Linked DNA regions of Cricetulus griseus. The protein of the gene in region 2 interacts with the protein of the main gene of each other region in a pairwise test. Links are inferred from orthologs where the notes say so. Each region holds a gene or a part of one and is shown on either strand. Other genes may lie near its edges.

Evidence for each region.
Region 1: the proteins of Ldlrap1 (region 2) and Psd4 interact in binary tests that used the Homo sapiens proteins (3 or more experiments, as listed by UniProt). The two-hybrid records come from large-scale screens. The link is inferred for Cricetulus griseus from reciprocal best matches to the Homo sapiens genes LDLRAP1 and PSD4.

Annotation. Positions count from the first base shown.
Region 1 is NC_048599.1:135,738,234-135,741,882, reverse strand, and holds part of Psd4 (PH and SEC7 domain-containing protein 4), read right to left. Parts: intron 3,349-3,649; coding exon 3,268-3,348; intron 3,143-3,267; coding exon 3,030-3,142; intron 2,829-3,029; coding exon 2,770-2,828; intron 2,589-2,769; coding exon 2,499-2,588; intron 1,502-2,498; coding exon 1,458-1,501; intron 779-1,457; coding exon 618-778; intron 1-617. UniProt on the Homo sapiens protein: Guanine nucleotide exchange factor for ARF6 and ARL14/ARF7. Through ARL14 activation, controls the movement of MHC class II-containing vesicles along the actin cytoskeleton in dendritic cells. Involved in membrane recycling.
Region 2 is NC_048595.1:18,544,333-18,547,981, forward strand, and holds part of Ldlrap1 (low density lipoprotein receptor adapter protein 1), read left to right. Parts: intron 1-753; coding exon 754-898; 3' UTR 899-3,649. UniProt on the Homo sapiens protein: Adapter protein (clathrin-associated sorting protein (CLASP)) required for efficient endocytosis of the LDL receptor (LDLR) in polarized cells such as hepatocytes and lymphocytes, but not in non-polarized cells (fibroblasts).

The DNA.
Region 1 (3,649 bases), on a different chromosome or scaffold from region 2:
GCAAAACCTGTTCTAAGCTACTTGGCCAGAGGGAGGCCTGATTTCCTATGGTTATCCGTCGAGTCCCACTCAGGACAGTGTTGGCCACCACATAGTGTTTAACCCGTGGTTCTATTGCAGCGATCTCTGCTCTGGTCAGGCAGCTTCCTTGGCCAAGAGCTTTCAACTGCCCTGGGAGTGAGTCCCAAATGTCGATTAGGACAGATTTTATCCTTGCAATATATCCTTTTCTGAGTGGATTCTGCAGTACTCTTTGCTCTGGAATGGATGTGCTCAGACAATGCAAAAATTCAGACAAGGTTCCATTCAGATGCCATCATTTGTCAGAACCTCCCTATGCCTGTCCCTGTAGCTAGTTCTCCAACCCTAAATACCTCTCCCTCCTCTGCCTCCATACTCTACACAGCCCTCCTTTCACCTTCACCAGAGACCCCGGAGACACTAATGTGCTTGTCTAGCCTTTGCCTTACCATGGGATTCGTTTTATCTTAGCATTTAGTTCACATTCAGGAAAGAAACACAAGTTGCTTGTTCATCTCTGTACCACAACACAGGGCCCGGTCCCTAAGTGGAGCTCTCCCTACATACACCTTTGTTCCCAGGCACCAGACACTCACTCTTCTTGCCATCAGCATCGTGATGCATCTTCCGAGCCAGGATGCCCTGCTTATAGGTGGGCACTGTGGGGTCCTGAGCCATCTGGAGGAAGGGGCTGCTTATCTTGCCAGCTGAAGGAGAGGGCTGGTCCTTCTCAGGTCTGGCTGCATCCTCTTCATCTCTGGATGGCAGAGAACCAGGATGGGAATGCTGGTGGGACAAGTACCCTCTGCCTCTTGGGGACTCAACACCTTCTCTTACTGGGGAGGAATATAATAGGAACCCCCTCAAAGAAAATCTCAGCTGGGTGTTGGTGGTGCACGTCTTTAAGCCCAGCACTCAGGAGGCAGAGGCAGGCAGATCTCTGTGAGTTCGAGGCCAGCCTGCTCTCTAGAGCGAGTGCCAGGATAGGCTCCAAAGCTACACAGAGAAACCCTGTCTCGAAAAACAAAAAACAGAAGAAGACGAAGAAGAAGAAGACGAAGAAGAAGAAGAAGAAGAAGAAGAAGAAGAAGAAGAAGAAGAAGAAGAAGAAGAAGAAGAAGAAGGAGAAGAAGGAGAAGAAGAAGAAGAAGACGATGAAGACGATGAAGAAGACGAAGAAGACGAAGAAAATCTCATTAAAAGCTGGAAACCCCTGGAAACACTGCTGTACCTTCACCAGCTCTGGCTTCTCCAGTATTTCCCAAGTTCCTCTGTACCCCACCTGGCCTAGTCTTCTGCCTCTGGCATTACCCCACTCAGGAGAACTGTGTAGGCCCCCGAACTTCTCCAGTTCTCAGGTGGGCAACAGTGGGGAGACAGGCTCAGAGGCAGGGATGCAGCGCAAGAAGCCCAGGGAAAGAGGAGTGCTCACTTACACAGCCCACTCAAGTTTCTCACTTCGGATGGACCAGTAGAGGGCCTGGAATAGAAGCATACAGATGAATGGAGGGTCTGTGGTACCTACGTTCATTTTGTTGGCAGACATCTATGGGTATAGGTAACACCTTGTCCCTCTACTCCCATCATAGTTGCCCTTCTCCTGAGCAGGCAAGCATTCATGACCCATTTATCCATCTGTCCACCCTTCCATTCCTGTGCTGGATACTGGAGACATAAAGATATCAAAGTAGCCAAGGCTCTGCCCTGCACTTAGTAAATTCTAAACTAGTCTTTTGAGAGAGAATATGACTCACTCACACACTATCCTGTCCAGGGGTATCTGATAGAGAAGGAACTTGACTGAACAACACTCACACAATGCATAATTGGTAGATGAATGAATGATGCTGGGTTAGAACTTGGAAGTAATTCATAGGCTTGCTTTTACAGTCCTTGATGTTCCTGGCAAGGTACTTAGTACACAGAAAATGTTCAATAAATGACCACTAAGTAGATGAAAAAGCCAGCGGTCCAATTGTGTATGAAGTGTGTGTGAGCCAGGCATAGTGCATGACACTTGACAGCTTTGATCTTGGTAATAACATTGTGAGATGATCATTTCTCCCAGAAGCAGCTTGAGTTGACCAAGGGGCAGAACTCAAGACATAATTCAAACTAAGATCACCCAGCTCCCAAACCTGAGACCAGGATTTGCCTTACGTGGAACTTTGTGTCTCATAAATTCGTTCAGTACTCCTGCACTTGCAGACTTCAAAGGGGTAACAATCCCCTGAGAAGGTAACAGAACATTTTCAGATGCATAAAGTATGATTCTGTACGTCCAGGGATGTCAATTTGCACAGCTGTCAAATCCCAAGACATCACCAGCACTCCCAGACAGGGACACACAGGCAACCCTTGTCCTCATAAGGACCTCTCCTCCAAGCCATGTCTGAGCTCTACTTTCCTCTTGGAACTAGAGTTCCAGGCTGCAGACCAAGAAGCAGGGAGGGTCCTGGCTTTGGAAGGCGCCTTACCTTCAGCAGCTCCTTGGGGAAGTTCCTGCCATCCTGCAGCCCATTCAGGTTGGTTATGAATTCCTGGCAGCTCATGCTCTTTCCAATGTTCTGTGGCCATGGAGAAGCGAGACAGTTTGAACATCCCACCCTGATGGAATATACCCCTAGGTGGTCACTGGGGAACTCCAAGGCCCTGCCCTGCCATATTCCCAGCCTTTGGTCCATTCTTCCCCTCCTCACCATGCCACAGACCCCCACATCAGCTCTCTAGATGCTCTCCCCTCCTTACCTGTCCATGCAGGTCTGTGTTAAGAAGCATGATGGCACAAGTCAAAGTGTGTATAGAATCTGTCCCCAAGAGAGGCCAAGCACAAGGTTCATTGGAATCTGACTTTTGTGGCTTCTGCCCACACTAAGGGTGACTCCTCCCATTTCTCTATAGCCCCAACACACTCCAGCAGCTGCTGACCAATGAACCCCAAGTAAATAGGGTTATTTTTATGCCACCCCAAAGTCCTTCTGCCCCACCCCTGGGCCCACCCTCCATACCTACTGAGGGGAAGGCCCCAGGATTGCAGTAATGGAAGCGTTTGGAAAACTGGTAGAGAATTCGTTCCCGTTCCTGAGTCTCTCCACTGAGCACCAGGGCCTGGAGAAACCCCCTGCCCAAAAAAGTCAGGATTAAGCAGAGCCACATCCCCGGGAGCTTGGGACCACTGCCCTGCAGCTGTCCCCAACCACCCCACACACCCAACTCCTGCTTCCTCTGAGGGCCAGAAGGCCTTACCGGAGGGCTCGGTCCAGGCTCTGGCCTTCGAAATGGAAGAAGGACAAGTATGCCTCAGCCACAGCCCTGCTGAAGTCATTGCTGTAGAGGGCAATGGAGATAAAGTTGATTCTGGGGATCAGGCTGAGCTGTAGGCACAGAAAGAACCCAGGGCGGCAAGAGCCAAATAAAAGAAAATATAACCATGCTAGGTGCCAGGTCCCAAGGGAGCCTGCTCTTGCTACTTTGGTCAATGTCACCTGTGATAGGCCATGTGGAATCGGGGACAGGCAAAGGGAGAAGTCAGGAATTGCAAGTGAGGCTGAGAAGAAGCAGAGCTGGCCAAGAGTGGGGGTGGGGATGGCATGGGAAGGAGCCTATGGGGAGTTCTCTCCTGTACTGC
Region 2 (3,649 bases):
TGTAAAGCTTTGGAGGCTGTCCTGGCACTCGCTCTGGAGACCAGGCTGGTCTCGAACTCACAGAGATCCACCTGCCTCTGCCTCCTGAGTGCTGGGATTAAAGGCATGCGCCACCAACGCCGGCATGAGGACCAACGTCCGGCCCCATATTTGAAAACAGTTTTATCCTCTTTTCCAGAATATTCAGTTGTCATGGGTCCTTACTAACAGTCTCAAACAAATCCCTGTGTAGTGTAGTCCCTGGCCCAGACTGGCACTGTGTCCGCTGACCTAACCATGAACACCCTTGTATCCATCAGCTCACAGCCCTGGGGACTCTTCATGGGCTCAGTGCCGTCAGAGGCCTCCCTCCAGGTGTTCACACCCTAGGACTCCTGTCCTCCTCCCCGTCCCCCAGGACAGGGCTGCGCTGTACTGACCTCTCCAGGTTCTTCTGGACATTAGTCTCCTTGTGTGACTATTGGGAAGCTCATGCTCACCCTGGTTATGCCAAGTGTCTTCTCCTGGCTGAACACTTCCTACCTACAACTGGCCTCTGTTAGAGTAGGGCTCATGGCCGGCCCCAGGGCTCTGACCTTCTTGGGCATCCTGCTGTCAGGGGGTGGGCTCTAGCTTCCCTGCTGAGCTTTTGAGTCTGGCCATTTCCCCACTCATGGCCCCTCCCTCTGTCCCCATGCTGGCCAGGCTATGCCCGTTCATTTAGCCCTGCTAGCCCTTCTCCTGTTGCTTGGCTTACACAGCTTTGCCTTCCAGGCTGGCACAGTCACGGACGAACCCTCAAGTCCTGGACACTGGGCTGTCCACACAGGACATCCATTATGCGCAGTGCTTATCGCCCACCGACTGGGACAAGCCTGACGGCAGTGGCATCGATCGAGATGACCTCTTCAGCTTCTGAGGGCCTAGGACTGACTGGCAGGACACAACTGGCCTTGACATGTGATGGACCAAAAGCCACCTACAGCAGAGCAGCCATCACAAGGAGCTGATGGCAAAGCCTGCGGACAAGAGCTGCACAGTCAGGCAGGGAGGGAGGGCAAGAAGAGCCTGCAGTGTCCAGTCAGTGACTCCTGGGTTATGCTTGGAAACCAGGTTTGCATCAGGCGCTCATGATGTATGCAGGGCAGGGCAGGGCAGGGCAGGGCAGGGCCTGGCCTCCTGGTCTCTTTCCTGGAGCCAGTGCCCCCTCCTGTGGCTGTCAAGACAGTGACCAAAGCATTCCGTGTTCCTTCTCTCTGGGGCATCCTTACTCCTCAAGCAGTGAGAGCCTATTATTTGTGCACTGGAGGGGACATGGCCTTCAGGGAAGCTGGGATCCTCAAATTCTGCTTCTTTGGGGCCTGGTAGCTAAGGCCCTCCGAGAGGCAGCACCTGACCAAAGACACATAGCTCTGCACTTTATCTCCCATAATGGACATGGTTTGAGGTCCTTGATGGTGCTGTGGGAGAGCTTGCCTCCTGCCCTCCCTCCACAGGAGGGCCACAGTCCCTGAGGTGATCTGTATAGTGCTAGGACCTAGTGTACCAGCTGCCCAGACTCCCAGAGTCTTACCACAACCGCAGGGATCACCTCTGTTCTGTTTTGTCTGTGTGTCCTGTGTGCCCCCACCTTCTGCCTCTCCATAATTCCTGGAATGATACCAAAGCCTAGCACTAGGCTGTGGCGGGATACTTTTCATTCATTTTACAGGTAAGGAAACTGAGGCAACACATGTCGGGGATGGAGATGAGAATAGAACCCAGATCTGATACCAAAGCTGCTGTTTGTACCGCCAACTTCTCACAGCCCACGTCTCCTTTCTCTCTAGCTTTGTTGTCCTCCCAGGAACCAAAAAGCCCCAGCTATTTTCTGACCAAAATGTGTTTCATAACAAACCATCTGGTGCCTTTCCACACAGCGCTGGCGTGGGCCTCCATGCCCTGCTAACTGCCACACTGCTTCCGGGAAGACATGTTTTGAAGTCTTTTGATTCCATGGGTTAAATGGAATCCTCCAGAAGCATCTCGCTGTCCCTTCCTGACACTGCAGCCCCAGTAGTCCCCCTACCCCACCCAGTGGCCAGGCAGTTTAGTGGTGAGCTGTCCTTAGTCTGGCTGGTCTCATGGGCTCTGGCATCCTGAATCTCAGCCAAGCCACAAGCATCTTTTCATTGCTAGGAGCCCCCAGTGGCTGGGCTTGTGAGAGCAGGTCTCAGTAGGCCCAGGAAAAGCACACCACTGTGACTTAAAGTTCCCAGCTCTTATTGAGTTGCTGAGTCAGACCCTTGCCTTGGGGAGGGTACTTGGAGAACCCTCCCTGGAATCAGGGTAGCTCCTTTTCCCCAACCAGCTCCAGGGTCCTGAGTGTGAGGGGCTGCCATGGTGTTGGGTGGTGCTGTGTTCTTGACAGGCTGTGCCTGCTGGCAAGGCAGCTCTAAGAAAGAAACAATAAATGTTCCCATTTTTTAAGTGTAAGCATCACTCGGTGTTGCTGGTGATGAGGGGCAGTGTCATAGCTCCTGCCCTTTGATGATATGTGTCAAAAGACTGAGGTATACCACATGCCCTTGTGGCACCAGAATAGAGGGTGATGGCAGGTTCCCTGCTGATGAGCCAGCAGGGTACCTTTCTCTGCAACTGTCACTGTGTGGAAGGTCACCAGTGGTCCAGTGTGTCGGCACTGACAGTGTTTCTAACCTTACATCCTGGTCGATGCTGAGTGTGTGAGATGTGAGTGTTCCCATGTGCACCCCTCCCCAGGGACAGTATTCCCACGACTCTCCAATGACTCGGGCTTGCGGGCTTGCTTACTCATGATCTGGTCCTGAGCTCAGTGCTAAGGATGACATTGCCTAGGTGAATTCAGGTTGTATGGCTTTGTGTGAAGGGGGCAGAGATAGAGGATGGGGATCAGTGATTTAAGAGACCCAAAGTCCAGCTATGGCCCTGGGTTAATTACCTGCTTCCCTGAGCCTTGGTTTTCCTGTCTGTAGACAGGGCACAGCAGACTCCTGTGCCTGTGTCCCTGGATTTTGAGACTATTGACCATTGTCATGTTATTGGTAGTTCAGACCTCTGGTGGCTTACAGGTTATCTCAGAGCAAAAGGTCATTTGGATCTAATGTGTAAAGTCCCAGTGGACTCAGACAGTGAGTACCACTCTTAGTGCACTTTCTGCGTGCCAGCTGACTAAGAAAAGTCATGGAGAGCCCAGATGCCATTCAGTTCCTACTGCTGAGGGCACTGAGCTTAGCTAGGAAGGTAGCCCTGTCCTGAGTGCCTGGTAAGGCCACAGCCCTGTCTCATATCCCTAGCCCTCATCCTGTCATGTAGCAATTTCCCAAGAGATGGTTATAATCCAGCTGCTCGTGTCTTGCCCAGACTCACAGTGACCATTCCAGCAAGGCTGCATTCCTCAAGTTCCATGGACTTCTGTCTGGGGACTCCCCAGCCACTGCTCCTTCCTGTGGCTTGTGGGGGTCTGGGGCATTTATGCAATAGTCCTATTTCAAGTGTCCAGAGGCAGAGCCTTTTGATGCCAGCCGACAAGCAGACTCCCTGTGAGGCCCAAGTGGATCAGAGAGGACTAAAGAATTCTTTCTTCTTTCCCCCATAATTTGAAAAGACACTCAACAAGCTCATCCTTCCATTTAAATTTGGCCAACGCCTT